4 linked regions of the Oreochromis niloticus genome follow. The protein of the gene in region 1 binds, or shares a complex with, the protein of each later gene. Links are inferred from orthologs where the notes say so. Each region holds a gene or a part of one and is shown in the gene's direction. Other genes may lie near its edges.

Region 1 (7,916 bases):
GATATTTGCCGGCTAATTTCCAAGCAGTCTAAAATTCTACAAGGCTTAGGGCCACCCAAAATATTTAAGCTTCTTTCATTTGTTCAACCGCAAACACATTTTCACAGTAGTTATTTCCTTTTATTTCAGATGGAGGCGCTGAAAGTCTACCTGGATGGAGGAGGGAATATCTTGGTCATGCTCGGTGAAGGAGGAGAAATGAAGTATGACACAAACATCAATTTCCTCCTGGAGGACTTCGGAGTAATGGTCAACAATGGTGTGCATTGAAACCTTGTTGGAAAAACAACTATGCAAACATTGCCCATGCTGTTTTTAAAATGCTTTGTATTCGTTTTCATCTTGTTCATCCAAGATGCTGTGGTGAGGAATGTGTACTACAAATACTTCCATCCTAAGGAGGCGCTTGTGTCGAATGGTGTACTGAACAGGTTCACCAGTGTTTTTCTCTTTTTATGTATATTTCACAGAGTCCCAGGTTGTTCTAGCCTAAATTTATGATGGCATAATCTAACACTTATCTAATTTCATCTGTATGCTGATAAATGCCAAACTATCAATTCAGTTGCCTGTTTCCTGTGCAGGGAGATCAGTCGTGCTGCTGGAAAAGTGGTCACGGGAATCATTGAAGATGAAAATGTTGGAAACAATGCACAGTGAGTCTCAATTTTGTACACCTCCATCTTCTGCATTAAAGAGAAAGACTTCAAATTTGAGTTGTTGTCTTTCTTTGTGCAGGGCGCTCACATTTGTGTACCCGTACGGTGCCACACTGACCGTGGTGAAGCCGGCCGTGGCTGTTCTTTCAACGGGCTCCGTCTGCTTTCCCCTCAACAGGCCTGTCCTGGCTTTCTATCAGGGCAAGGTCAGAGGCACAGTGTAGTGACAACTTTCTTTTCCTAACCATATGGTCAGAAATGTGGTAACATGGAGATTACTTTTTTTTAAATGTAGAATTCTGGCAAACTGGCTGTCTTGGGTTCCTGCCACATGTTCAGTGATCAATACATAGACAAAGAGGAGAACAATAAAATCATGGTAAGTCCACTTTTTTGTGTAATTTATTAGGTAAAGGTAGAAGCATGATCCTTCTAGAATAAAGCTCCTTTAAATGAGTATTTCAATAGTAGTTTTTTTTATTGGCTGCCGTGGCATACAACTTTTTCTTTTATCACAGGACGTTGTGCTTCAGTGGCTCATGACCGATAACATTCAGCTGAATCAGATTGATGCCGAAGACCCAGAGGTGAGGAAGAGGAGTGTGCATGGCAAAATGGCTTTCCTAATTGTTCTCTCTCTCTTTCTTTTTCTTTTTTTTTTAAATGAGCCAAGGTTCTTCTTTTCTTCTTGTCCTTTTTTTTTGTCCCCCAGATCACAGATTACACAATGCTGCCAGACACTGGCTGTTTGTCTGAACAGCTCAGAGTGTGCTTACAAGAAGGAGACGAAAACCCACGGGACTTCACCTCTCTCTTTGATATGTCTTTGTTCAATCTGTCGACTGACACCTTACCCCAAGTCATCAGGTGAGAAATTGGTCACCCTCCCCTGAGTCCAATCGCTGTTGTTTCCCTTCGAAGCTAAAAACAGATCTTTGGTTTGCAGTGCTTACAAGCAGCTTAATGTGAAAGCTGAGCCACTGCAGCTGATTGCACCGCAGTTTGAAACTCCTCTGCCTCAGCTTCAGCCTGCTGTGAGTTTTTTTTTTTTTTTTTTTTTTTCTGGGGGTTTTCTGTTCAAAGGATTTCACGTCAATGTAACTGAAAACTTAAGACAACATTTTTGCTTAAAGTCCCACAAGTTTGAAGCCAAAAGTAGGTGCTGTCCTGTCTTTCAGGTCTTTCCACCTGCCTTAAATGATTTGCCACCACCCATGCTGGACCTGTTCGATCTAGACGAAACATTCTCGTCGGAGAAAGTGCGACTGGCACAGCTCACCAATAAGTGTAAGTTCAGGATTGCTAATGGAGCATTCACACATGCACTGCAGCCCTCTAGATATCTATTGATGGAGGCGTATGTGAGGACTTACATGTCCAGGGCAGTCAGATTCCACATTAAACTGACTTTCATTTGCTACTTATGTGTGAGAAGCTAGGTGGTTATTTTCACAGCAGTTCAGTAGCCATCCTTTATCTCATATAGGTTGATCGGGTGTCCCTCTTTACGTGGGACTGCACAGCAGTTTCATCTCTTGTATCACATATTTTGACTTAACCTATGTCTTATCTTTTAATTTGACCTAGTTTTAAAAGTCGAAATATATATGTAAGACAGGACACTTCAAAAGTCAGCCAATTCCTCCGGGTTTGTTATCTTTAGTGCCATGTGGCAACACGATGCAGAGCAGCTACCTAAACTCTACTCCCACAGTGTCCTCCCCTCACCCCATCTAATCGTGGCAGATGGCTACCCCTCCCTGAGCCTGGTTCTGTTGGCTTCTTCCTGTTAAAAGGGAGTTTTTCCTTGCCGCTGTCACCAGTTGCTTGCTCATAGGGAGTCATCTGATTGTTGGGTTTTTCTGTCTATTATTGTAGGGTATTTACAATAAAATATAGGCGACTGTGAATTGGCGCTATATAAATAAAATTGAATCGATTTATTGAATGACTGAAGAATGCTGTCATGGTTCTCCTGCAGGTTAGCATGTCATGATATTTTTCTGTTTACACTACTTAAAGTTTAAATTCACAAATCACCAAAAGTGAATGAAATGTTCGTGGAATATGAATAAAAGTACTACAAATAACAGGAAATGCAGCATGTTTTTTTTTGTTTTTTTAAACAAGTCTAAAAAGGCCTGTTGATACCTGCCGTCAGTTGGGATGCTACTTTCAATCCTCCCGCTACAGATATTTACATGTTAAATGTTTGCTCATGAGTCTCCTTTAAATCTGATCACCCTAGTCCCACCTATTGTACACTCTACCCAGACATCTCCCTTAAACTAAGTTTATTTCTGAACTTGCCTGTTTTGAAGCAGATAGTTAATCGTACTCATCCTGTTATTAAATGGGTTGTGTTCACAGGTACAGACGATGACCTTGAATTCTACGTCCGGAAATGTGGTGAAATTCTCGGAGTGACTCCTAAGTTGGATAAAGAGCAGAGGGATGCCAAGCACATCTTGGAACACATTTTCTTCCAGGTTGTAGAGTTCAAGAAACTAAATCAGGTGAGTGTGTTCATAACTACATCTGCTTGCATCTAAAGGCTTTGTCCAAAAATGACTTTCCTCACTTTTGGCAGGAACACGATATGGATCCTGAGGCCCGGTTCACTCCGCTGTGATTGGATTCAAGAAATCTGAACATTCAATACGTCCCTTTTGAAATTAGCACAGTTTGAGCTTATGAGCACAGTTACAATGGAGGGACTGTGGTAACCACACTTTTCAGAACATGTACAGCTACATTTTATAACTTTGTATTGTCTTTCATTGTAAGAATATACCAGAGCAAATAAAGTTCTATACCCTTTATTTAACAGTGCTTTGAAAATATTTTTGTAGTTAAAACATTGATGTGATTATTAAAAAGGCAAACTGTTCTGCATCAGTCCTCACATGGATCCTTTAAAACAGAACATGATGTCAAACTATGGATTGGGGGGGGGGGTGTTAACTTGGACATAGTGGGTGCAGAGGCTGGGAGTGCACATCACACTTGACATCTAACATTTTTCCCTTGTAAAGTGTTAATTTTAGCCACATCAGGGTGAAACATCAGCTAGTGACTCTTGTTGTGAGGGTTTTGGACTCCACGTTTGCTCCAGAGTGCAGGACTCCACGTAGAATCTAGGGCTATTGCTCTCCGACTTGATCACAGACACGTCCCATGACATTTGTGAGGCGGTGAGATCGCTGTATGACTGATCAAAACAAGCTGCCTGCTTTGGCTTCTGAAGGAGCATGTGGGGAGTGGAGGACTTCCCCTGTAACGGGACGGCCAGGTAGCAGCCATCAGCTTCGTGAGTGTTCATGGTGTTCACTGAAAACCCTGGACAGGGAGAGGCGGTGTCAGAGGACAGGCAGAGAGAGGCTCCAATAGACGGCTTGGTGTCCAATCCATCAGCTGTTGTGTCATTCGACACCCTCGATGTGGACAGTTGTTCCAGTGACAGTACAGACAGCAGACTCTGTTCCCCATAAAACTTCCTGTCAAGCTCTGATGGAGATGAGCACTCAAAGCTTTTCATATCTAGAAGGTAAAACATGTTAGACAGAATTCAGAAACAAATCACCTGATGAGGCAAATCAACACGTCTAATTCAGTCTAGTTTTCTTACCTTTGACCACAAACACTTTCTCCATGTTTGATCAGGGCTGCCTCCCTCCTCCAGCTGGCTTTTAAGCTGTTGGAGCTGCTTGCTAATTGACCCAGCTGCAGGTCATCAGTGGGAGCAGGAGGCGGACCTGTCAGCCCTGTACAGATTCAGGCCCTGTAATTTACTTGTGGTTTATTGAGCGCTAATCTGTTAGGTTATATATAAGGCTGTAATTTTAACAAGATCACTAAACCTTTTAAAAACTATTTATTTGTATGCTGTTTAAAAAAAAAAAAAAATTTTAGCATTAAAAATATAATTTTTATTAAAGAGCTTACACATACTGGTGGACTAACCACTACAGAAACATTAAAAATACTTTTTGAATACCAGTACTATCAATTTAAGGCAGCTGGTGCATAAACCTTACACCGGGTGGTGGTCTAATAAGCACTGTATTGTTTAAAAGCTGTTCGCAAACATACTATAGATTTTCTGGGAAGGAAAATGGTAGAAAGTATATTTAGTTAAAGGTGTAAACATGAAAAAACAAACAAAAAATAAATTAAAATGACTTTATAAGTAAACACTTTTATGTGAAAGTGTCTGAAATTTTGTAGTAGAAAAATCGTGTTTTTTCAAACTAAATTTCATTACTGTTTTATTATGTAACAATATCTAAACTTCCCCTCTCAGCAATTGGGTGTTTACAGTGTTTGACTGAGACACACCAATGACTGCAGAAAACATTATTTTACGATAATAAAACAAAATTTACAGCGCTGGGACAAACCCAAAAAAGTTCCACCGGAAGCTTTCTCTGTGGCTACGCGCAGCTCCAATGCGCAGCTACGTCACTATCCGGTTCCTACGACAGAGAAGAGCGCGAGATAGAAATCCAAGAGCGCGGACAACTCTGGCGCTCCGCACCAGCTGGTTGTATAGGCTGTAACATTAGAACAGTGCCGAGCCTCCATCACCAACACTGGCTACAGCATAAAGACATTAATCACGGGTATTACGACGACATAATACCAAGTACGTATGCACATGACGTGCAACGGCCGCCGGAGAAATCGCTTTCGGACCGTAAACAACAGAAATAGAGGGAAATGTCCCGGTGGCCGCGCGGGTAAGATGTTAATCGTTATTACCTAAATTAGCTGTGTGTGTGTTTTTTAACACTGGGGGTTGACGTGAGTATTTAACTTATTCTTTTTAATACAGTCAATTGGAAACTGAAGTCTTCACTGTTTGACCTAACCCTGCTATCCCTGGGAGCTCGCTTGTGTCTGGCCGCCCTTTTTCCGGACACGGAAAACAGGCTTTGGGTTAAACTTAAGGCCAAACACGGTTTCTCTTAGATCACACTAGATAAATAAATCACTGCTCAGCACAGACATTATTGGCAAACTGTGTTATTTCTGCGAGCGAACTGTTATCCGCCAAGTTGGCTAGAAAAATAAGAACGATAATCTAGCTGTCTTCCGGACATCACCAGGGCCGGTCAGTAGTGAGTTGTCTGTCAGCTATGTTCGTCCACATCACAGTTGTTTGTTTCTCAGTGAGGATGGAGAGGAGGCCATGCATCAGGACACTGATTCTGATGTGGCAGAGCAGAGGGATGGAGGGAAAGTGAAGGTGAAATGGACTCAAGAGGAGGTATTTGTTTATTTTTATTTTTTTAATATATATAATGTAAACCAGACTGCTTCATTTAAACATTGAAGTAAACAGATAATTTAAATGGCTCTAGAGGAGGACAGGGATCATAAGAAATGCTCATTTTTTGGTGTGTATACAGGATGACAAGCTTAAAACGCTGGTTCAAAAACTGGGACCAAATGACTGGAAAACCATAGCCAGCTACATACCTGTGAGTCTGAGCATCTTTTCTGTAAGAATGTATGTCAACAGAAATCTTTTTCAGTATTTTGAGTTTGCTTTTTTGTTTTTTTAGAATCATACTGAACATCAGTGTCAGCATCGCTGGTTTAAAGTCTTGGACCCAGAATTAGTGAAAGGCCCCTGGACTAAAGAGGAAGATGAGAAGGTAGGTAGTTCAGAGGTGTGAATGGAGTAAATATGTTGTGAATAAAAGCATGCTGGTGATCTTTTTTTTTTTTAACTTTTCTTTTTTGTCCTCTAGGTTATAGAGCTTGTGAATCTTTATGGCAACAAACAGTGGGCGCTGGTAGCCAAGCACCTGAAAGGCAGACTGGGGAAGCAGTGCAGAGAGCGCTGGCACAACCACCTCAATCCCAGCGTTAAGAAGTCTTCGTGGACGGCTGAGGAGGACCTCATCATCTATAAGGCTCACTGCCTGCTTGGCAATCGCTGGGCTGAGATCGCAAAACTGCTCCCTGGAAGGCAAGTAGCTACTCTGCCAGAAACAGAATTGGGCTGATGTGAGCTTTTACATGCAAACTCCTGCTCTTTTCTGAAGTGAATTCTTAAATTTTTAACTTAGAAAAGTTTGATACGTTGCCGTGCTTGTCAGATACTTTGTAACAACTGATGAACAATTTAATCAGCTGCCTATCCGGTGGGTCACTTGTCCTGCAATGGACTCCTACATCACAGTCTTAAACTTAAACAGTAGTTCTCGTTCTGTTCTCAACCACGAGGAACTTGTTCCAGCTAGACTGAGCCTGTAGGTCACAGCAGATCTTCGCAGCAGAGTATTGTCTACTGTTGTTTGCTGGAATCCTTTCATCCACAGGACGTGAGACACACTTAAGAGGTAGTGTAATTACATTGTTGGATGTCTCAGGAGAAGGGCCAGGTTTTAACAATAAGTCAACTCTCAAAATAAGTGCGAGGATTACTTTGTGTTGCCAAATGAAGTCAGTATGTGGGGAAACACTGCAATTCACGTCCTGATATATATTGACAGGACGGACAATGCAGTGAAGAATCACTGGAATTCGACCATCAAACGGAAGTTAGAGATGGGCTTCTACTCCGGGGAGGTCTTCAGGCCCAATGAGCTGGAGGAGCTGTGGGCTCGTGTTAGCAAGGATGGTCAGGTGGGCTGTGTTTCCATGATGTCCTCCTCTATGATACAAGATACAAAAGATATGTATGGTAAGATACAGAAATTGGGTTTTTTCTCATTACACAGATGCCCAGTTGCTCTCAAGACAGTTCAGACAAGGACTCGGAGCAGAAGATCCCTCCTTCAGTAAGTGACTGTTCAGATTCATTTAAAAAAAAAAAAATAATAACACCGTTACCTTAAGTATCAGAAACTAGTCTATACTAGTGTTGTTATAGAATCTTCTTTTTCCAATAGCTGCAGGAAACAGCTAAAGCTGGCCCCAGCAAAGCTGGGCTGTCAAAGTCTGTTCCCTCTCCAAGCAACAGTCTGAGCCCCAAGAGTGAGGTGGACAGCACAGGAGGACTGAACAGCACTAGCTGGGTGGTGGACAGCTCCGGATTCCTGTCTCCCACTGGCCCAGCTCTGAAGGAAGTGTTAGACATGGTGGATGGGGTAAATATCCACAATACCACAGGGTTATTTTAAAAAACTGTCCCGGTTTTATATTGTGTATAATGTATTCTGTATACTGTTTGTTCTGCATCTGTTCAGTCTTGGCTATTTCACAGTTGTGGCTACATGCTGACCTAACAAATAAATGTCTCTTCTG
Region 2 (7,305 bases), on another chromosome or scaffold:
TAATAAACAGCTATTTAAATATTTCCATTTTAATTAACCATTAGCATATACTGTGGATAAAAATACAGTAAACACTTTCTTCTTATACAAACACGTATACAACAGGACCTAAAAGATACCTTTTAAATAGATTTATCACCTTTTGGACAATACTGACGAAAACTGAAATTGCAAAAGTAGACTTTACAGCACAGTTGTACTTGGATTGCATAGGTGTTCCTAATAAAGATGTTGTTTATAGGATGGTAAGAACGTACGCAAAGGGTGTCCTGGCAGTTTTCTAGTCAAGTATCACTTTGTTCAAACTGTATTTAAGCTATATTTAAGCTATTTTAAATTTGTTTATGTCTTATGCTTTTATGATTGTGTAAACTCCTTGCTTTTATGTTGCTTTTTACTCTACTGTGTACAGTGACCTTGAGTGTTTTGAAAGGCGCTTTCAAATAAAATGTATTATCATTATTATTATTATTATTACCTTGTGCTCTGCACCAAATGTGCAGCTAAAGAGCAGCAAGTTAGCTAGTTAGCTTGGATGATAAAATATACAGTTCTCATAATTATTTTACCAACAATTAATGTGGGTAGTCACTCCTTTTATGTTCCTTGCACTTTGGATAAAACCTAAAAGCAAACATTGACAGACTGATTGCGTTTCTATCTGGTTTATCTGGATGTATGGCTAATGCAGCTAACGTTAGCTTAGCTTTGTGCAGACCAGTATCTAGCTGCTAGCTAGCAGTTTCTGTTGCAGTTTTTAACGAGTGATGTTCTCCCTAACTAACGTTACATACTTGGCAGCAAGATCTTTATGAGATCCACTTGAGTTCATCAGTTGTGTAAGCTCCTGCCTCACTTCGGTCGCCATTGTAGCCTGTGTCGAAGTGTCAACACCGGTTTCCTCTGCCAAGACAGGGGAGAGCCTTCCGTCTGCAGTCAGAGCGCAGAGCTCAGCCAGGAAGTGACGCAGCCAGCCATGGGAGCGGAAGAGGGAAAAGAATGATTATAATTATTTTAGGCCAGGCTTAAATGTTGATCTATTGTATTACTTTTTTATTGTCTGAATTTTAAGTGATAATATATGTTTTTAAACAAAACTTGGTGAGTATTATAAACTATCCATCCCTTTCCTGAAAATAATCATAGCTATATTTGGTTACATTTTTTCTGGTAATTTTGTGTTTTAACCTAAAAAAGGGTCAATCTATTTTTAACACTAGTATCATCTGAAATATGAGGGGCTTTCTTGTGTTTGCGCAATAAAATATCCTGTCTCACAGACATGCTGAACAACTACATTCTGTATTTAATGCCTCTAGGCTGGGCTGTTGTAAAGCATTATTATCAGGTTGTTCTAAAAGCTCCCTGAAAAGCCTTCAATTGATCCAGAATGCTACAGTAACAGTACTGACGGGGACTAGCAAGGCTTTTTCTCGTTCACTGGCTCCCTGTTAAATCCAGAATCCCATTTAAATTCTACACCTCACATACAAGGTCTTGAATAATCAGGCCCTGTCTTATCTTAAAGATCTCATAATACCATATCACCCTAACAAAGCATTTCACACTCGAGTTACTGGCTTACTTGTGTTTCCTAGAGCATTTATAAGTAAAATGGAAGGCAGAGCCTTCAGCTTTCAGGCCCCTCTTCTGAGAAACCAGCTACCAGATTGCATTCAGGAGACAGACACCCTCTCTACTTTTATGAATAACTTTTCTTCTTCACTTACTTCTTACTTTCTGTGTGTTTATACAGCACTTTACATATAATCATTAGTTACAGCTAATCTCTAGTAGACTTCCACAGCGTGTCTTTTGCCTTGTCTTTCTCTCTGCTCTCTTCTCTTCCCCACACTCCAAACCAGTTGCAGTGGATGGCTGCCCCTGTACCCTCTGGCACATTCTTCCTGGTAAAAAAGAGTTTTTCCTTTCCACTGTTTCCAAGTGTTTGTTCTTGGGGATTCATTTGACTGTATGGGTTTTCTTTTTATTACTTTTTAAATGCTATGTAAATAAAATTGAATTGAGCTGACATTTTTGTCAAACCAGTCAAAAGTTTGTTTGTTTGTTTGTTTGTTTGTTTAAGTAAAATACAACTAAAATATATAGCCTAACTAAATAATGTTGGATAATAGTAATAGTAATAAAATACATATGACACCAGAGGTCAAGTTATATACAAGTGGTATCAGTTAAAAACTAAATATCTATAATCAACATCAGTCAAAAAGTATATAAGTATTACGCAAAATACATAAAGACATGCCTGATGTATCGACTTTTGTACAAGAAAAAGTCAGCACCATAAGAGCTCATTGACTATCAACTGGACCTCATGTCACTTATGATGAATCTCCAAAAGTTGAATCTGTTCATCTGGACGTAGTGTTTTGTGGGAGAAACGTTTCGTCACTCATCCAAGTGACTTCTTCAGTCTCAGCTGACTGCAGGTTTCCCCAAACCTTATAAACAGTACATTTGCATAATGACTGAAACCAGCCCACTGAAGGAACAATGGGCTGTGAGGTCAGTACCTTAATCATATCACGTACTACATTTCACAGATCACATTAACTCGGTGGACCGGCACATCAAATTCACCAGGGAGGATATGAAAAGTGGCAGGTTAGCCTTCTTAGACTGTGAGATTTCCATCAGTAATGGGGGACATCTAAAGGCTGACGTGTACTGTAAACCTACACATACGGATCAGTATCTAAGGTCTGACTCTCATCATCCACTGGAGCACAAACTGGGTGTCATCAGGACGCTACAAGACAGAGCGAACACCATCCCCACAGACACAGCGGCCAGGGAGGCAGAAGAACAGCACATCAAGAAGGCCCTGAGTAAATGTGGTTATCCCAGCTGGACTTTTGTCAAAGCGGGAAAGGCACCTAAAGAAAGCTCCAGCTGATCCAGGAGAGAAGGACAACTGCTGCCCAAGCGAAAACCTGTAGTGATCCCATATGTGTCAGGAGTATCGGAACAGTTGAGACGCATTTTTTCTAAACACCGGGTCTCTGTGGCTTTTAAACCCCAAAACACGCTGCGCCAAAAACTGGTCCACCCCAAGGATCAGGTCCCCCGACACAAACAGAGTAACATACTGTACGCTGTTAAGTGCCAGGAGGATTGTCAGGATTTATACATCGGGGAAACCAAACAACCTCTAGCGAAGCGGATGGCACAACACAGAAGAGCAACCTCATCAGGCCAGGACTCTGCAGTCTATTTACACCTACAGGCCAGTGGACACTCTTTCAATGATGAGGATGTACACATCCTGGACAGGGAGGAATGCTGGTTTGAGCGCGGAGTCAAGGAGGCCATTTACGTGAAGAGGGAAAGACCATCTCTGAATCGAGGAGGGGGCCTGAGGGTACATCTTTCGCCATCTTACAACGCTGTGATTGCAGCCATTCCCCAACTCAAAGTGAATGGTACTCATGGCCATTGATCAGTGTTCTTTGATCAGTGGGTTTTGGTCAGTGATTGTTGATCAATGGTCATGGGAATTTGCATAATTATGATTAAGGAACTGACCTCACAGCCCATTGTTCCTTCAGTGGGCTGGTTTCAGTCATTATGCAAATGTACTGTTTATTAGGTTTGGGGAAACCTGCAGTCAGCTGAGACTGAAGAAGTTACTTGGATGAGTGACGAAACGTTTCTCCCACAAAACGCTACGTCCAGATGATCAGATTCAACTTTTCGAGATTTACTTTCCTGGATGATTGAGAATGCATCAAGACTTATGATGAATGTACTGAAGAGACTACGCTGGCCTGCCTAAGACCTCAGGCGAAAACATCTCTTGACACTCTGTAGTATGCAAGCAGGTCGAATCTGGGAGTGAATCATGGCGTAATCTCCATGCTGAAGACAGTTTACTCCCATCTAGGCAGTAACAACTGCAGGGTGAAGTTTATCTTCTCTGATTTTCTGAAGTGCATTTCATGTGTTTTGCCACTGTTACTGTAAGAGAAACTACGGGACATGTAAGTAAACATGTCCACCACCTTATTATTTACTGACTACCTGACAGTGGTACGTGAGACTGGGCACTTAGTGAGGCTGCTGGGTAGTGCTCTGTCAGATTTTGGTAATGTCCAGCACACGAGCTCCAAGGCTGACTGTGTTGTTTGTTTTTTATAAACTAATAAAAGTTTTTATTTTCCCAAAAAAAACTATAAAAAAGAAGAAGAAGAAGAAGAAGCATTAAATAGTTTTGTAGAAACAGTCCTAACGTTGATAAAGCAATTGTGCTGTAGCTTTAAGTGTTACGTCAGTGTTTCGTATCGCGTGGAGGGCGTGGCCGGCCTGTGAAATGTCAGGGAGGAATGGCGCTCGGCGCGGTATTTTGAACAATCGTCTTTTCCTTTCCTCCCTTTATCTGGAAACGCTGCTTAGCTTAAAAATTTGGGGTAAGCATGACTATGCGTTGGCCCTTTCTAGGATTTAACACACTATATTCAACATAAAGACTCACACTAAAGAATGTATTCAATGTTGAGATATAATGTTGTGCTAGCTAGCTCGGGTTAGCAAGCTCAGCAAGTTTGCTAGTACAGTTGTCCTGCCCGCTGGGCTGTCTAGATGAGACTGCTGTTGCTGTCTTTGCTGCTGATGGTGATAATGATAACAATAACGATAACGATGTTTAAAGATAGACTCCGGTGAAAAAGCAGTATAATATTCCCAGGACTTGGTTCGGCAGAGTATTTTCAGCGCTTAAGGAAAGTTTCTCGTGCACAAAACAGGGACTTGGTGTAAATATCATGTGAGCCGGCCGCTAAGTTTACTTACTGCAACGGCAAATGAAAAGTAAAAGCTAAGTTAGCTGCACATCGAGTTTCATTTGACATACTGGCGAAACGTCTAAAGGATCATAGATATTTTTATATGTATGTAAAATATTAGAAGGCACAAGTCAGCAGTTCCATTTGCTGTTAGTTGTTTTCATATTACTTTAGCTGTTGACCCCGTAACATTCTTGGAATTTACGCTTTTCTGGTTCATTCTCAGACTATAACTCAGTCAAAATATGACTTTCTTGAGGTTAAACTAAAACATCATTTTGAACTGGTTAGGCCACGCTAACTCCAGCCCTAAAACACAGACTGTAAATGCTCTTAAGGAGATCTATAGTAGCAATCGCAATAATTGCATTGTGGAATTAAAATGTTGTATTTCCTCCTATGTCAAGTGACAGGAGAAATTAGTGAAAGCTAGCATTGTTTACGTTGTCAGAGTCTGCAGAGTTTTGTTGTTGTTGTTGTTTTTTGTTGTTTTTTTACTCGCCAGCAGCACCCTGTTAACATCAAGTCTTATCTTCAGCGATTGTTTAGTAATGCTTGTTTTGCAGTGAACTGTCAGTGTAAGTGTCTCTGCTTATTACCAATATTTATAAACGCTTCCCCTCAGCATAGCTTAGCGTTAGCCGGGCAGCTAACTAAGCTGATGACGAGGTAAAAATGGCGGATCTTTCGAAATCCAACCCCGGCCTGAAATAGTAACGCAGCCAACAAAACAGCTTGTCGCTTTTTTTCCTCGCTCTTTGCCCCAGTCAGGACCACTTCTGGGCATTTTTAAAATAAACGAGTGCAACTCAGCACAGTTTTCTTTTGATGGCTTTCATCTGGGGACGTGAAGAGATTCAGCTCAGTCAGCTCTGCGTGTGAATGTGGTATGGAGTGGGTAGGGTTCATATGTGCGTTTCGGTGGATTAATGTTGAGTAGAGTGCAGCAGGACAAAGATACGGCAGAGATGATCGTTGCGGCCTAGCATCAGCTGTCTGCTTCAGTCAAAATCAGCACAAGTCAAACGTTACTCATGCCCACCTCTTTATTTATTACACCTCACGTAATTACTGAAGTGATTTACAGGTAAAGTTATGACAATCTGGCACTTCTACTGCACCAACATGGCTAGCTCGCTAGCTTGAACTATCTTGCTCTATATTCTCAGCACAGCTTTTAGCTGTCTGTCTGTATTATAATCCAGTTATGTATATTGTATAAATGAGTAGAGGAATACATTTTTAAATGAATTGCAAACACTGTTGACTGCAATTAAATGCAACAGCTCTCTAAAATGATGAATGTATATCCTCAGAATTTTAAAATTGTATTATCTTTGTCTGTCTCTCCCTGTTCATGGTGCATCTAGTGCAGTAAATGTAAGCTTCTAGGTCTTTCAAATAATATAAAAGTGATCAAATACAACAGAAAACCCTCCTGCCTAATAGCCAATAAAACAGATTTGACCTGCTGGAGTTTGAACATGTGTGCCTGTATTATAAGTTAAGCTGACAGTGGTGTTAATGTTGTGGCTTACTGGTGTTTTTGATGTATTTTGCAATGACAATTAAAGTTAATTGTATTGTTCTTTCAGGATTAACAGAAAGCTGAGAGTTTGCAAGCATGGATGTAGTGTCACCAGAGCTCAACAGCCTCCTCCCTGATGAGATCATGGATACTGAGGATATAGAGGATGTTCCTCACTCTCAACCTGGCACCACTGGAGTCCACTCAGAGCCCAGTGATGATGCATCGGTCCCAATGGAAACTGATACACCCATGGCTTCAGAGAACGTGAGCCTCTGTTCAGACGCCGCTTTAACCGAACCCACTCAGGCTATGACCACCTCCACAGCCACAGACTCCATGCTTAGTGCCAGCCCCAGAAGTCCGCCTCCTGTCTCAAATTCCAGCACATCGTCTCCTCTTCTTACTATCAAACCAGGCTTGGCTACTTCGACAGCCACAACCAAAACCACAGACAGTGTTACTGGAACTAGTGTGACTACAAGTGGATTACAGAAGCTCACAACTCCATTTACAATCTCTCCTGCAAATCGCCAGATTATTCTCAATAAGGTGGCCTCTCAAGCCTCAGAAGCAGCAAAGTCTGCAGGTAATCCACCTCAGGTCATCAAGCAGGATGGACAGAAACTTTTGGTTACAGCTATAGGAAAATCAGGGCAGCCTATAGTGCTTCAGTTACCCCACACAGGCAGCAAGCCTGGTGTTTCACAGACTGCCGGGGACACCAAGTCTCAAGCTCCGCAGTTTAAAGTGGTGACTATAGGTGGGAGGTCAGACCTGAAGCCAGTGGTGGGCAACCAGGTGACCACATTACAGACCCAGCAGCTGAAGACTGTCCAGGTAACAATGACCTTTTGTATTATTAATACATTTTTACAAAAATATTGCTTGTCATGTTCCACATGTTACTGTTAAATTAAATATATTTACTACTGTAAATGATTGCGTCAATATCAATTGAACATACTGTGTACA
Region 3 (7,498 bases), on another chromosome or scaffold:
AGAGAAAAAACACACACAAATATTAAACACCTCCACCCTCCAGAAAATACAAAAAACATTATTATGTCAGTATAAAAGTTTTATTTTGATTGTGTGCATTATGTGGTTATGTGAGACATAAACAAAAAAATGTGTTTAATTTAATCTATTAATTTACATTTTCTTACGATGGTAGTGATCCTATGATTTGTTGTTTTTCTCATGCAGATCTGGCATTTGGCTCTACCGTTACAATAAAAAACCTCCGTATTGCTGGAGGTTATTTGCACTCTCATTGGCACTTATACCCAGAAGGAGTTGGCGCAAGGCAGCAGCAGGTCAGGCTAATTGTTGAAAACTGAAATATTTTATATATTTATATTTGTAGTTTCTTTGTTTTTTTAACTTTAAATGTTTTCTTATGATTTGTTTGCTTACAGGTGACAGCCTACCTCCATAAGGACTACAACAACTTGTGGGTGGTTCACAGACAACAAGATAATAATTGTGAGGAACTGACATTGATATATTTAACAATGTTGCCAAAGACAATGTTAAAATCCAACTAGGATAAGGAATTGTTGTTTTATTGTTTATATCTATTGTTTTGTTTTGTTTTTTAAAAAAGCTCAATCTGGCAACCCTGATCTTGTTCGCCATGGTGATATCGTTCGACTGGAGCATAAAGAGTAAGTATTATGAATGACAAGAAAAATGCACATTTTATTTAAAGTGATTCAGTCTCAGTTCCTTCCCAAATCTCTTTGTGTGTGTGTGTGTGTGTGTGTGTGTGTTTCTTTCAGGACAACACGTAACCTTCACAGTCACCTCCATGAGGCGCCTCTGACCAAGAAGCACTTCCAGGTTACAGGTTATGGCATTGTAAGGAAGGCTTTAACATAACATCTGCACTAAAAATACAGATTCAGTTGGACTTGACATATTTATTGCATATTCTGTTTTGGGGTTTTATGGGTGTTCTGTACACCAATACTAAAATTATTTTTGGTCTATTCTTAGAATGGCACAGGGGACGCCAATGACCTGTGGCAGATGGAGGTGTGTGGAGGTCGGAAGGGTGACCCAGTAAAGGTGCTGCGCAGCAAAGTTCGCTTTCTACATCGAGCTACCGGCTGTGTGCTTTACTCCTCTGGCAAAACTCTTCCAAAGTGGTAAAACTAGCATACTTTTAAATTTGAGATGACTTTGTACACAACAGGTCAAAACGCACTACAAATGTTGTTTCTGTTTAGGGGCTGGGAACAAATAGAGGTGACCTGTAGTCCCTACTTGAAGGAGACCCCAAGCTCTCAGTGGAACATTGAGGACCATATTAATCCAAAATGTATGATCAATTCATTCAATGTATTCCTATTTTGTGTTTGCACTTCTTGATGTCAGACAGCAGCTAACATGTTGTGTATTGTGTGTTCTGGCAGTACCCAACATTAGTCTGTCTGTGCTGAAGCCTAATTTTCTGGAAATCTTACTGGAGTCCCATATTGTTATGTTTAGAGTAAGTAATAATAAGAGAATAAATAAGCTCATCTGCTTTAAAAGAAAGTGCATCTTCATTTCTTTTCTTTTTATTTTATTGTCTTTTAGGGAAATAGTGGCTTAAAACCCAAAGACAATGAGATGAATTCAAAACCTTGGCACTGGCCCATCAACTACCAGGTGCATTACACTCTATATAAAATCTATTTTAGTTATATATATAAATATAAATTTATACTTTTTATCTTTTAACTTAATGTAATTTGTTTCCGTGAAGGGCTTGAGGTTTTCAGGAGTAAATGCGACAGAGTACCGCGTTTACCTGCTGGGGAACCCTGTAAGTTTGTTTTTAAGTTTTTATGCTTACAATCTCATTTAACCAGCAGATCAGTGTCCTCATGGTGAAAATGGTTTTCAGGTGGTGTGGTGGATAAATCTGGCCAGTTTGGGGTTGTATTTCACCATGGTGGCGGTGGCTTCCATAGCCACCCAAAGAGGTTTTTCACTGGGCCAACAAAGAATAGGTATGGTAAATAATGGTGGCTTAACAGTATGCTTTTGCATAGTGACTTTAAGTAAAGTAGTATTGTCCTGTGTTTCAGAGCATTCTCTTGTGCTTGTGAGAGGAGGTGGACTGCTGATGCTTGGTTGGCTCCTGCATTATGCACCTTTTTTTACGATGGGTCGTATCCTCTACTTTCATCACTACTTCCCTGCAATGCTCTTCAGCAGCATGCTAACAGGTACCAAACTGTGCTGGATTTCTGTATTCCAACTATAAAGTGCAGAGGGTAGTGCAGAGTTACAGAACTGAAGTAGAAGCCACACATAAGAAGCTTTTTTCAGCAGGTTTGGTGGGTGTAGCCAATACTTCACTTACAACTTACTTCACTTAATGGCTTGCATTAGAGCCGACAGTGTTTGGGACACAGTTATCTCAGTTTTGCATACTTGACTGACAGTTGTTGCAATTTTGGTTAAATAATTGTATTTTTTTCCTCCAGGACTGACGTTAGACATCCTTTTCAGAAGTGCTGACCTTCTACTCCACCCACCTTATTCTTATTGGTTCCAGCGAACTGGGCAGCTGCTGCTTCTGTTTAGTATTCTTTACAGGTGAGCTGAGTAGTATGAAGAATCAGCTTGTTCTTAACACTGTCAGAAACAGCCTATCATTACTGTGAGATATCTGCTACATAATGTAGTTCTTTATGATACTCCATCCATTGTTGTATACTTTGATTGATGCTCTTGATGCTCCTAATGGTTTAATAAGCCATGACGTTCTTGTAGCTGTGGATGAAAAGATTATGAATTATTAAAGGATTGTTATTGTTTTGTTGAGAATTAATGACAAGATTAATACCTACAGTCCATCATGATTGATAAATCATTTAAGTTAAAGGAAGCAGGTGCTCTTAATATGCTACATATTGTCATGTATATCATGTAGATGTAATACAGTTTTCAAGTTTGGATGGACTATCATACAGATATTCTAATAGGATTACAACTTTCTCATCTGGCTCTCAGCAAGAAGCTTCTCTGCTAATTCTTACTAAATATGAAAAGAATAATTACACTGAGGGTCTTACATGAACTTCTTGCTGCTGTGACTTTAGATCTCACAGCCCATTTTAGCACATGAATGAAAGTTTTTCATCTGCTTAGTGTAACTGACTGTGATCCATTCATTGTCTGTCAGTTTCTACCTGTTTCATCCGCTGTCCTATGGCATGACGGGTCCGCTAGCACACGAGCCGGGCAGCGCCATGGCTGGTCTGAAGTGGATGGACTCCTGGGAGTTCTAGTCTGCTTTGCAGGAAGATGACACTAATGATGTGACTTGCACCAACTGTTCTGAATATAAGGGACTTAAAACTGACAGAGTAGAGTGTTTGCACATAGAAGTGATTCTTAAAAGGTACTGATTGAATTTGTACGTGTCTTAGTATTTGTGTCACAGCATTTGCACCTGACGTTGTCTATCATGCATGAAGAATGCTTGATAAAGCAGACCTAACTCAATGCAATGTGAAAGCCAGATTGTGGTGTAAGTGGGAATCTTAACTTTGTCTCTGAGAGGCCTTAACTAACATCACAACTTCTGTTCCTAGATTTAATGTGTACTGTAATTCAAAACAATAAGCTAAAGTGCCTGAAAGGAAAAAGGTTTTAAAAAGTAAGTTTTAAAGGTTTAAATGCTACATGTCCCTGATTTTTGTTTTTTAAATTTTGTACATAGTTGGAAGCTATTAGACTGTATTTTGATTAGGGATTTTCTGATTTTACTCATTACTTAGTATTTTGGTACTGTACTTAGCCAATAGTGCTTTGTTACTCGCTATTTTTACACTAGGTACCGACTCTGTGTTTACATTTTAATGTGATCAATAAACAGTGATCCTGCATTCTGTATCTTTACTTATAAAGTTTTCTGCTTTTTTTAAGTTGAAGGAAATCTTTAAATTGTTTTTATGTTCTGTACAATAACATGAAGCATGTCTTTATTATTATATTGAGTTGAACCTTTTTTTATTTTACTGAGATTAAAATGATATTTTCAGTGTTGATAATTAAAATATGAATCACCACTTGAGATATCCCCAAAAGCTCAGAAATGTGTAGAAATCTGATAAAAGTCAAGAGTTCAAAGTATCATTCCAGAAATATCCCTGTAATAGCATAAAAAGTAATAGGGTATTGATTGTTTTAAAACATTTTTGTCCAAAATTTTAATTCCATAAAAATTATATCCAATATAATTACAAAAGGTCAAAATATCCTTAAATCTGAAAACTTTACACTGCTTGATATAGGTCCCCCTTGAAAATAATTACGTATAATATAATACATTGCTTTGGTCGCAGGTGTATAAACATATTCCTGTGGTCCCAAAGTTATATTGTTAGTTTAAATGTAGGAACCGAAGTCACCCCGATCAAAATATAACCGTCAGTTACTTAGTGTTCGTTGTATATTTTTTCTGATTTGAACTTAATACTGGGTTTATGCTCCAACATTATACCAGCGGGCCGCCTGGTGGCGTGTTTCTGAAGTACACCACATACACTCGTCAAATGTCAGAGCTGCTGCTGCCGCTGCCATTGGCTGTCGTTTATCACGTGATTATTGTGAAGATGGCGTCTCCAAATGGAGGTAAATTCTAATTCTTTACCCTGCGACGCTGTGTATAAAATGTAAAATTGAGATCTTTAAGCACATTAAACCGTTAAGAACTATAATCCTGTTTTAGCTGAAGACCCACAGACGACAGAATACGCATGTTAGTGCCGTATTTTTGCTGTTTGGACATGTTTTTCCGTTGGCTAAAGCCCTCACTAGCCCCGGCGTTCGGTCCAGTAAATGGGGAAGAAGAGCGGGTAGCAAGCTTGAATTCTGTCGTGTAGTCTGACTCACAGAGCTGAAGCTGTGGATGCTGCTAGCTAAAATATTAGCTGTTAGTTACTGCTGTACTACTAACAGGTTAAATCATCCCTCCTTAGACCAGTTTCATAACAACTACAGTGTTTTTGTTTCGGTTGTATTTCTTTCTTCTTCTTTTTTCTAACGTTTTTTTCTGTGTTGTACATCTCGTTACTCTTATTAATGGGAGCTGTGTACTTGAAATTTATCATTTTGTATGTTTAACAGTAAAGCGCCGTGTGTTTTAAAGATGACTGTAGACACTCACTGTTGTACCTCTTTCGTAATTTCTTCCATACAAATTGAGAGTAATTTGACCCAAAATTTAACATTGCAATCCATCCAATCTAGTCTTTGTGTAATTTGACATACCTCAGCCTTTTCTCCCCTTTTCCTCAAATGCACATTGCATTCTGTAAATATGCCAGGTTTGGGGGTAATAGCTCTTTGGGTTCCTTGATGTGCAAATGCTAATTTATATTGTCAGTCCGTGTTTCATTTGTCATTTCTTTGTAGGCTCAACTGAAGAAATTAGAGAAAATTATGTTTTGCAATTGGCTGCTAGTAACAAAGTGCCTAATACCTCTTGAGTTAAGTGATTTTGTATGCTTGAATGAATTCATAGATCAGTGTTAAGTGGCTTGACAAACAATCCTCTTAAAATGGTCACGTATTAATGATTAGGTGGAAAATAAGGGGAAAAGTAACAAATGGCCAAAGAAAAACTTTGAAATATCTTCACTAAATCTGGAGAACTACTGGTCAACACTGGTCAAAGTCTGGTTCAGTGGAAGGAAAATGTAAAGAAATGATGGGTGGCTCAAGACTTTTGCACTGTACTGTACATGGCATTAAACATGGAAGAAGATGCCTGGGGCTGTTAAAATAAGGTGTTATCACACGATTTGCCAGACAGACTGGCTCTGACCCAATTTTCTGCCTGTATTGTCACTACTGTGTGTAGGTCATGTTACTGCTGAGCAGATAATGGTACACAGTCAATCAGTGTTTGTGAAAGTTTGTGAAATACATTGCTGGAAAGCTGGTAAACAGCCCAGCATTTTCCACTTTTTATACAATTGTGACATGCTGTATGTATACATAGACAACTTCATCATCCCTCGTTAATTCTTAAGGCTGTTACGTCCCTGTAATTTCACTGGATGGATGGAACACCACCATTCTTACTAAACATAGATCCTTATCTGTTATTTTTTAATGGAGCGCCTTGTGACTTATAAGTCCAAAATAAGGTTTAGTGACTGTGAGTACCATAGAATTTGATATAGATGGGACCATTGTTATTCTATAAAAGACAACTTGCATCAAAATAGATTTTTTTTATTATATGATAAAGGTGATCATTCAGCACAGCTATGTATTGATTTTAGGAGACTCATGTTTCTCTGAACAAGCCACTTATTCAGCATTATTCAGTGTTGCAGGGAGAATGGAGCCTATCACAACTGTCACTGGGTGAAAGATACCCAGGGATTTTTTTTTTTTTTAGTAAAGATGTTTTTCTTCTGTGAAAATCCATCCATCTATTTAGTGCCACTTACATGTTCAGGGTTGTGGGGGAGCAGTCTTAGCAGAGATGCTCAGACCTAGCTCGTCAGATGCCTGTACCACCTGAGCTGGCTCCTTCTGATGCAGAGGAGTAGCAGCTCTAAGGGAACGCTGAAACATCATTTCACGATGTCATTCTTGCATTTGTTGCCCACAGTTCATGCCTCGTGGTTACAGTAGGAACTTAAATCTACTGGCTCTAATTTGTTTTCTTTGTCTCGATAGGTGATGATTTTGAGTCATCATTGCTGAGTTTTGAGAAGTTGGATAGAGCATCCCCAGACTTGTGGCCAGAGCAGTGTAAGTTTATCTCCTGCGCCTATGTGACTGGTTACCGTAGCATTTATTATGCATAAACTTTATTATTCTCTGATCTCTCATACAGTACCTGGAGTCGCAGAGTTCGCTGCATCTTGTAAAAATGTGAGTTAGATTCAATATGGCTGAGTTTGAGTTACACATTAGAAACATAAATAGGCTTGTCACACTTCATGATGCGTGATCTGTAACTCTTTATCACAGCCCATCTGCAATTCACCCCCAAAATGGATGTCAGATCTGGAGAGTGAGGATATTGAAATGTTGAAAGGTTGGTCCAAATAGCCAAAATTATGTTTTTTTTTCCCAGACAGATTTTTCAGTTTACTTGTTACAGTTGGTGTTAAACAGAAAGACTGGGGGACAGAGGCAGACTTACTATATAATCCTGTCAAATGGGTTAACATTTTGCTGAAGTTGGGTTAGTGCTTTTATTATGGGTCTTATTATCCTTCTGTAGAGCTGGGTAGCCTGACCACAGCCAACCTGATGGAGAAGGTCAAAGGACTTCAGAATCTAGCGTACCAACTGGGCTTAGAGGAGTGTAAGTAAACAAACAGCACACACATGCCAGTGTACAGATAATCCAGCCTTTATACCTTTAAAATCACTAAGAGTTCGAAAAGGATGTGGTCACATGTTACCACTAGATGGTGCTCATAGGCCTCTCTTGGGTTTTGCTTCTCTGTCTGGAAGAAGTAACTTCCCA
Region 4 (7,949 bases), about 29 Mb from region 1:
ACTAAACATAAAATAAGTAGAAACAAAGGATAGACAAGAAAACATAGAACATACGTGAAGTGAAATTACGTGAAGTGAAACTGATTCTGTCTTCACCTGCAGGACCTGATGAACTTGAAACTGGCTCTGGATATTGAGATCGCCACCTACAGGAAGCTGCTGGAAGGAGAGGAGGACAGGTGGTTATGGTTATTCCATTCAGACTCTACCACTGCAGAGAGTTCACCAGAATGTACATCCTTCCAAACCAATAAGAATAAATTGCGAGAGGCTTATCTACAATGTTACTTGCATAATCTTATGTTTGCTGACTCTGACTAAAAGTAAACTACTTCATAAACCATTTCTTTATTTATGTATACTCATGGATGTGTGTATACAGGAGCCTTTATGACCATCATTAGGGTAATTTTAGTTTGATGTTTGATTTACTGGAATGAGATTGGTAGTGAAATACCGGCACTGAGACTAAGAGTGATTAAATTAAAAATTGATATTATGGATAAAAATATTCATATGATAATTTTGTAAATTAAAAAGCTTCGCAAAAATGTGACGTTGCTGTAGATGAGTGAATTCTTTTTGGATTTTTTATATACTCTGTTTTTGTTCCTGCACCCAAATTTCCCCTCAGAAAACCTCTGAATGCAAAGAAAATGTTGCACTAAATAACATTTTTTAATTTGTCGGTGTGCCACAATAATAATAATGTAGTTTAAATCTTAAATTAATAGTTAGAAACAGTGGAACCAGACAAGGATCTGATTCCAATGGAAAGGTTTTTTGTATTGCTAACTCCTAGTTCCTGTTTCTCTTTATTGTGTGAATGCCATAAGGTTCAGGTCTTTCTGCTAATGCCAGATAAACATTTGTGGTGCTCATGACTTTTATACTTTTTGCTGATAAGCCATTTTGCAGCTCTTTGTTTCCCAGATGAAGCCAGAGATTTATCATGATTTATTCATCCACCCATTTTCTTCTGCGTATCTAATTCAAGGTCAACGGGGCTATCATACCCCATGGAGCGATAATAGAGACATCAGTGAGAACTACACCAGACTGAAATGAAACAGAATTTGGGTAATGTTAGGGTAGAGTGCCCTCTACAGGTGGGAATGTGACACCACATGGTTACAGCCCAGGATGGAACAGAAGAGTTAAAGAGTCCACAAAAGTGAAATATAAATAACCTCTTTTTCTTTTCTTTTTTTCCTCTTTTGCCTCTGCAGACTTGGACAACAGTCTATCCTCAACATCCAGCCCATCTCCAACTACAGTAAGTGTCAAATACTAAGGCAGATTAGTGTATGAATATGAATGTGTCATGGCTACTGGACGGACTCACGCGCAGACAGTTCTTTCTTTGAGAACAAAAGGAGATTATTTATTTACAACAGGGATCACCTCAGTGCTATATATATGTACAGTGAGTTGGGAGAGGGGGGGTCCAGGGCTCTGGGGAGAGAAGGGGGGGGATCCACACACGCTTCCTCTTCCACACAGTCACCGCCACAGCTCCTCCGCACACACGCACTCCTCTTCAGCCGCACTTGCTCCGAAACTCCACACATGCTGCCACACCCGGGCAGGTCCCATGATTTGGTCCAGAAGAGGGATATCTACACACAGAATTCAACGTTAGTTCCACAGCAAAATTCACATAGAGGATTCTTTTGATAATGCCGAGAGCACGAACTCAGGAGGTTCAACGTTCCAGCGGTGAGCTGCTCTGTGCCACTGCCTTAAATAGCAGCTGGGGAAATCAGCCAGATCAGCAGCAGGTGGAGACAATCACAGGTGCGTGGGCCAAGAGCGAGAGCCCGTAACGAGCTCCACCCAGGCAGAGAGGAGGAGGAGAGACAAAGAAAACAAAAACAAAAAACAACAACAAAACCTGTAGCCAGCGTGAGCCAGCCAGAGAGACACGGGGACCGTGACAGAATGTTTTTATATGACTAAACCCTTGATGCTCAGGGGCCCGTTCTTCGTACCTCGCTTACTACATCCAAGATCAAATGACACATCCAAGATCAAATCATCGCGCTAACTTTGAGCTCGCTAATCCGGTTCTCCGAACACACCTGTTGTTGACGATCAGTATAGCTGGATGAAGTAATGCGAGATCACTGGGTGTCTCAAAAGGGGCTACGCATCGATAGTAGAAACATTGATCGGCAACCCTGTGATTGGTCGGCGAAGATGTCGAAGGCGCGCGCTCAGTATTTTACGGCAGCAGAGCAAGAACTCTTGACTGAGGGATATCAGGAGTTTCAGAGTTTAATTAAAACGCAAGGGAACACTGCAAAGGCTGCAAAAGCAAGGAGAGAGGGCTGGCAGAAAGTTGCTGACAAATTAAACTCGTAAATAATTTATTATATCATATTCCATTATATCCTCTTTCACATTAGAGCCACAACAGGACCCACTAGAACATGGGGACAAGTAAAAGTGAAATATAAGAATATTCTACAGAATGGTAATATTTATCACTTATATTGCTTTTAGTCTCTTGAAAAGAGACCCTGAAATAATCTGTTTGTTTGTTCATAACAGCAACCAAGAAAAGGGCAGAGCAAATAAAGACAGGTGGTGGTCCTGCACCCCCTCGTGTGTGTGTGTGTGTGTGTGTATGTGTATGACAGGACGGATCCTGTCAATCCCGCAATATACGCTGAATTCTGGAAACTCTCCTTATCAATCTTGCACCTTCCGCAATGGGTTGCTCGCGTACAAACGGACAGGACATGACTGCGACAGACTTCCCAAATCCACCTTCGCTTTTATAGCCGTGGTCTCTCATCTTGATTACACGAAGTAATTTACTATTACTACTCTAAAATACGAATTACATCTGAAATAATCAAATACGTGTAATAGAATGATTACTAGTACATTTCCCTTTTTCTTAGGAAATGACCTGTATGTATCTGTATGCAATCAATAAAAGAATCAAATACTGCATTATCTTTAGTTACATTGATAATATTTATTTATGGAGAAACAGTGGTGAAATATCGCTGTTGCTTTCGTGTACATGCAGCGGACATACCTGAGTGGCCGCGATCTAATCCTGTTTACATAAAGTAAACCTGCTCCCGAGCAGGTTTACGCTTACGGATCTGTTGCTATGACAGCAAGTCCCAGATGAGCTTCGGAGAACCGAACGATCCAAGATCACGCGAAATCGTCAACAATCAAATCCGGCTAACTTACATAGCGAGGTACGAAGAACGGGCCCCTGGACTGAGAGGTTACATTAATAACGACAGAGAATTTGTATTTTGTGAAATTTTGTCTTACACATCTTCCTGTATTTTTCTTCAGGTTTCTCTTCAAGTACTAAAAGCACTAATGGCTACCAAAGTGCCTCCAGCTCTCCTGCCCCGAAGCTGCTGATAAAGACAATTGAGACCAGAGATAACAGCAGATACAGCATTCACTGAGAGCACACTCACTGGTCCGCTGTGATTTTCTAAAAGCTGTCTCTAAATGTGTGAGGGGCTCCACGGGGCATTTCATTACTTTACTTAGAATAATGGAAACATAAATGATGTAAATGACAAAACCGAGTGGGAGTAGTCCTGGGGTTTGTTGTTAGTTCCTAATACTGTTAAGGATTTTAATGTGTTTCGTTTAGTGTGCTGAGTAGTCTAGCTTTAATCATATGGGGTTTTGATACACACTGTGGTAGAGTGCTGTGTTATTTACTGTCTAATCTGTACTGAGATTACACGGTCATACGACTATTGGAGTTTAGAGTTTAGGATAGCTGGTTATAAAGAGATTTTTTATGCTACTATAAAGAACATTAACTTTCTTTAGCTACAGAAGTAGTTTAGTTTGAGGGGGCTAAGTTACTTTTTAGTTGCTTTCAAAAATAAAGTGATCATAAACAAAAATGTTCTTGATTTTTTATTCTTTCCTGTTTCTGAAACTTCTGTAAAAGCAAAAAAATCCAAAGTATAAAAAACTCCATGCTAATCATACGTCACATTTGAATTATTTATATTGATGTCTCTGTCGCGTTGCTACACTCAGACTCAGCATTTCAGAGGACCCACTAAAATGTGCTATTTTTATACAGTCAGCCCCATGTTCCCCTTTTTTAATGTGATTAAGCATCACTGTTACAAAAGACCAAACAATATTACAGCATGAGCATGCACCAGCAGTTAAAATTAATATACCCAGAGTTAACAGTATACAGTATCTGAACATACCAGAGGCCCTGCTGAGGTTAGAGGTTTGTCCCATGGCAATGTAAAACAAACAACTAAATACCTTTCAATCCATCCATGCATCCATCCAACCACCAAGCTTCATCCAGTTTAGGGTCGCTACTTCTGGAAGTTAAAAGTTTGATTCAAAGTTCTAGAAGGAAGTTCTGCCACAATACGCATTTTAAACACACCTGTAGACGTTACTATTTTATTACTATGTAAATTGAATTTAATATAAATGTTTAATATAAATATAAATTAAAAATGCATGGTTAGAATCACAAAAAAGCCACCCATAAGTCAAAATTTCCGGTTATTACAAGTGCTACCTTTTTTTCTGTTTTACAATCTTTCCAGTATTTTAAATTTAGGATCCTTTCAGTCCTCTACATTAAACTTCCGGGGGCGGGGAAAGGAACGCATTCGTAGGCCATCTTAAAATTGACACAGTTAACAGTTAATAAAAACGTTTTCTATTTTCTATTCCGTATAGCTTTGCTCGTGTTCAATTAAATACCAATAATCAAAATTTAAAATAAATTAATAGAACATGTTTTCGGTCGCGCGCTTCGAACGTGGTTGCCTGGTAACAGCTGAAAGCAAAGAGCCAGAGCGTCGGCTGAGCACGAGCTTTCAGCTTGTGGCAGGGGGTTGGGCGAACAGCTCGGGACCGACGCTCCCCTCGCCTCTTATTGGTCCGGGTCGTGAAGTTTTCGCGCCAACGCGCTGCATTGTGGGGGACTGATAACGGAAGTTGTTGTGTCCTGAACAAGTTGGGGGGCTGTGTTATTTGGCAGTGGGAAAGAGGGGCGCTGTGTTTTGTTTTTTAGATTTGAACTCAGGTTGAAATTACACCTGTCGCTGGTGCGGATGCGGGGCGAAGAGTCTTCAGATTCGGAGTCGAGCAGGATGGAGGAGAGCTCGGTGCGGAGGAGTTTGGAGACGTTGTGTCAGGAGCTGAACATGGACGAACAGACGGCCACAGAAGCCATGGACAACTTTACTGCCATATGGAATACATATACTCTGGAGGTGAATAATGTCCTCTAAATAGTCAGTAGCTGTTTAACGAGTCAGACTCCTGCTAAGCTCATTACTGTAGATTAATTTTCATGCGTAGTGAATGCTTCACCAGGACACGAACACAGCAGTTAAAGGGCTCTGTTTTTACTTTCCACGCTGGAGTTGCACCGGTTAGTCGATCGCCACTGTGTATCAACTAATCATATTGCCAGTAAAATGATCGTGCTGATTTATTCTTGTGTCAGAGTCACCCCTGGTTTCGGCCTCTCCAATACAAAAATACTTAATGTCCAAGTGAAGCGTTAATGTTACAGCAGGTATCAGCTGGATTAAGCTAAATATATACAATAAAATAAACTAAAAATAGATTAGAGACTAAAGACAGCGTATATAGATTTATTTGGGATTTATTTTGTTGAGCTGTTGTTGTCATATGTTGTTTATTGTTTGGGTTACTGTGATGGCGTGAGTTTCTGATAAAGTAGACACTAGAGTAATCATAATATTTTATTTATTGAATGTAACTACTGTCCAGAACCACAGTCTTTGTTCACATCAGGGTTTGGACTGAATAACAAAAAGGGGGAAAACGTATTGTTACCCCAGACCTTGGTCATGATTTTTTTTTTCATAAACATACATACATAAAGACGCTTGACTTAAATTATATCAAGCCTGTTTTTGTATACTAGTGTGGGTGGGTGAAGCTGTGCAGTAATTTAAAGAGTGCTTGCGGTATAGGGATCCACTACTGATGAAATTTTTAGGTCAGTACTGATGTTTGAAATATCAGTCTGGCCAATAGATGACATTAGTAGTTTTTCTTCTGTAGTTAGTTTTGTGTTGTTATTTCGTCCTCCTTTCAATTAAATAAATGGTCATTGTAAAAAAAAAATAAAAAAAAAAAAACCTCTTAAACTCATATCTTTATTTGAATAGGGCTGATTTCAATGAATAAATATTTTTTTATTCACTTAAATGCATAAAATTCATGGCAACGTTGTTTATTGAAAATTAAAATGAAAAACAATAAATGGGAATTATTTGAAACCATGAGTCATGCAAAGATAGATAACCTACTCTGTTTAACTACTCCATGCTCTTAAACTTTGTTTTATTATTGTGTTCATTTCCTGTTTTTATGCTTGTCTTATTTGTTCTGTAAACTGTCCTCGAGTGTTTTGAAAGGCACTTTTAAATAAAATGTATTATCAATATTGTCATTATTGTTATTATTATTATTATTTAAGCTTAAGTAGAATCCAAAAATAAAAACATGGATAAAAGCAGGAAAGGTTTCTTTTAAAAAAAACACAGACACACGCTTATAAGTATAATGTTGATTCCTAATTTACATTTACGAAGCTGTGACAGCAAAATGTTTTCTGATCAGTTTGATGTTTCTTGACTAAAAAGATGAATATGGTAAATGGCCTGTATTTGTATAGCGCTTTACTAGTCCCTAAGGACCCCAAAGCGCTTTACACATCCAGTCATCCACCCATTCACACACACATTCACACACTGGTGATGGCAAGCTACATGTAGCCACAGCCACCCTGGGGCGCACTGACAGAGGCGAGGCTGCCGAACACTGGCGCCACCAGGCCCTCTGGCCACCACCAGTAGGCAACGGGTGAAGTGTCTTGCCCAAGGACACAACAACTGAGACTGTCCAAGCCAGGGCTTGAACCGGCAACCTTCCGATTACAAGGCGAACTCCCAACTTTTTGAATATGATTGTGCATCATGCAGCTGCATGATGCACAAAGCTTTATGTTTATGTTATGTATCGAAGACAAATGTGTAAATGTTGTGTTGCTGTTTCTCTGCAGGGAGATGTTGTACACTGGCTGGCATGTTCACTGTATGCAGCCTGCAGGAAGGGGTCCACTCCCACAGTGGGCAAAGGGCTGATGGAAGGAAACTGTGTCTCACTGACCAGGATTCTTCGCTCCTCGAAACTCAGGTGAATCTCTGTCAGCTCTGCGGGACCTGACTGTGCAGTTTAAGAAAAATGTAGCAACTGATAAAGCAATAAAAACATCAGTGTGCCGAATAAATTATGAGGTGGTAACTTACCTGGTTTTAGATGACTGATGGTGAAGAAAAGACTCAGATTCAGTGTCTTCTTTACAGATAACACAGAAAGTGAAATAATTTTCTGTATTATCTGTAGAAAAATTTGACCATAAACAATGAATGTTTACAAACTGAAATCCTTTAAAAAGTGTGTTACAAAATTTCCAGTTACAGTTTTAATGGGAGCCTATCCTCCATTGTTTTGTGTTTGAACATGTACACTTCTGCTTGTTCTGTCCCTTCCTCAGTCTGATCCAGTTCTTCTCCAAGATGAGGAAGTGGGCCGACATGTCCAAGCTCTCACAGGACTTCAGGCTCCGAATGGAGCGCCTGGAACGCAACTTTGAGGTCTCCACGGTGATTTTCCGCAAGTTTGAACCCATCTTCATGGACATGTTTCAAAATCCGCAGGGAACCGACCCGCCACGGCAACCACGCAGCAGGAAGCACAGGTAACACTAACACACACAGAGCTGCTTGTCTAACCCTTGGTTAACATTCTTGTAAAGTTCTATATCTAAAGTATTAAGATCTACTTTGAAAGTGTTTGCTTTAAATCCCTTTGATGCTGGACTTTGTAGTGCAAATTATATTAAAGTACATTCAATTTTCAACACTGCTTAG

The links.
Region 2: mybl2b (region 1) and lin54 share a complex: the UniProt entries of both Homo sapiens proteins name them as parts of the DREAM complex. The link is inferred for Oreochromis niloticus from reciprocal best matches to the Homo sapiens genes MYBL2 and LIN54.
Region 3: the proteins of mybl2b (region 1) and lin52 are in contact, whole or in part, in a crystal structure (PDB 6C48), measured with the Homo sapiens proteins. The link is inferred for Oreochromis niloticus from reciprocal best matches to the Homo sapiens genes MYBL2 and LIN52. Residues at the interface, in NP_002457.1 of Homo sapiens: Trp663, Val666, Ala667, Gly669, Thr671, Asp673, Gln674, Phe676, Lys680, Ala681, Gln683, Leu684; in NP_001019845.2 of Homo sapiens: Gln84, Ala87, Tyr88, Gly91, Leu92, Glu94, Ser95, Met98, Thr99, Lys102, Phe103, Leu107, Glu108, Lys109.
Region 4: mybl2b (region 1) and rbl1 share a complex: the UniProt entries of both Homo sapiens proteins name them as parts of the DREAM complex. The link is inferred for Oreochromis niloticus from reciprocal best matches to the Homo sapiens genes MYBL2 and RBL1.

Annotation. Positions count from the first base shown.
Region 1 is NC_031970.2:33,717,040-33,724,955, reverse strand, and holds the start of mybl2b (v-myb avian myeloblastosis viral oncogene homolog-like 2b), read left to right. Parts: upstream 1-4,905; 5' UTR 4,906-5,378; coding exon 5,379-5,398; intron 5,399-5,831; coding exon 5,832-5,928; intron 5,929-6,070; coding exon 6,071-6,142; intron 6,143-6,226; coding exon 6,227-6,319; intron 6,320-6,415; coding exon 6,416-6,636; intron 6,637-7,162; coding exon 7,163-7,295; intron 7,296-7,390; coding exon 7,391-7,450; intron 7,451-7,561; coding exon 7,562-7,759; intron 7,760-7,916. Other genes in the region: ift52 (intraflagellar transport protein 52 homolog), read left to right, coding at 130-259, 356-431, 585-656, 739-865, 955-1,038, 1,178-1,246, 1,372-1,526, 1,606-1,693 and 3 more. UniProt on the Homo sapiens protein: Transcription factor involved in the regulation of cell survival, proliferation, and differentiation. Transactivates the expression of the CLU gene.
Region 2 is NC_031972.2:11,870,360-11,877,664, reverse strand, and holds the start of lin54 (protein lin-54 homolog), read left to right. Parts: upstream 1-4,293; 5' UTR 4,294-4,427; intron 4,428-4,498; exon of another isoform or gene 4,499-5,689; intron 5,690-5,734; exon of another isoform or gene 5,735-5,889; intron 5,890-6,397; 5' UTR 6,398-6,426; coding exon 6,427-7,170; intron 7,171-7,305. Other genes in the region: cops4 (COP9 signalosome complex subunit 4), read right to left, coding at 795-868. UniProt on the Homo sapiens protein: Component of the DREAM complex, a multiprotein complex that can both act as a transcription activator or repressor depending on the context. In G0 phase, the complex binds to more than 800 promoters and is required for repression of E2F target genes.
Region 3 is NC_031983.2:9,853,310-9,860,807, reverse strand, and holds the start of lin52 (protein lin-52 homolog), read left to right. Parts: upstream 1-4,487; coding exon 4,488-4,635; intron 4,636-6,696; coding exon 6,697-6,771; intron 6,772-6,856; coding exon 6,857-6,894; intron 6,895-6,993; coding exon 6,994-7,060; intron 7,061-7,249; coding exon 7,250-7,333; intron 7,334-7,498. Other genes in the region: pomt2 (protein O-mannosyl-transferase 2), read left to right, coding at 208-317, 420-486, 608-668, 783-861, 1,000-1,151, 1,233-1,324, 1,419-1,495, 1,585-1,656 and 5 more.
Region 4 is NC_031970.2:5,191,267-5,199,215, forward strand, and holds the start of rbl1 (retinoblastoma-like protein 1), read left to right. Parts: upstream 1-4,936; 5' UTR 4,937-5,090; coding exon 5,091-5,252; intron 5,253-7,078; coding exon 7,079-7,212; intron 7,213-7,573; coding exon 7,574-7,777; intron 7,778-7,949. Other genes in the region: si:dkey-222f2.1 (keratin, type II cytoskeletal 8), read left to right, coding at 103-179, 1,230-1,276, 3,325-3,443. UniProt on the Homo sapiens protein: Key regulator of entry into cell division. Directly involved in heterochromatin formation by maintaining overall chromatin structure and, in particular, that of constitutive heterochromatin by stabilizing histone methylation.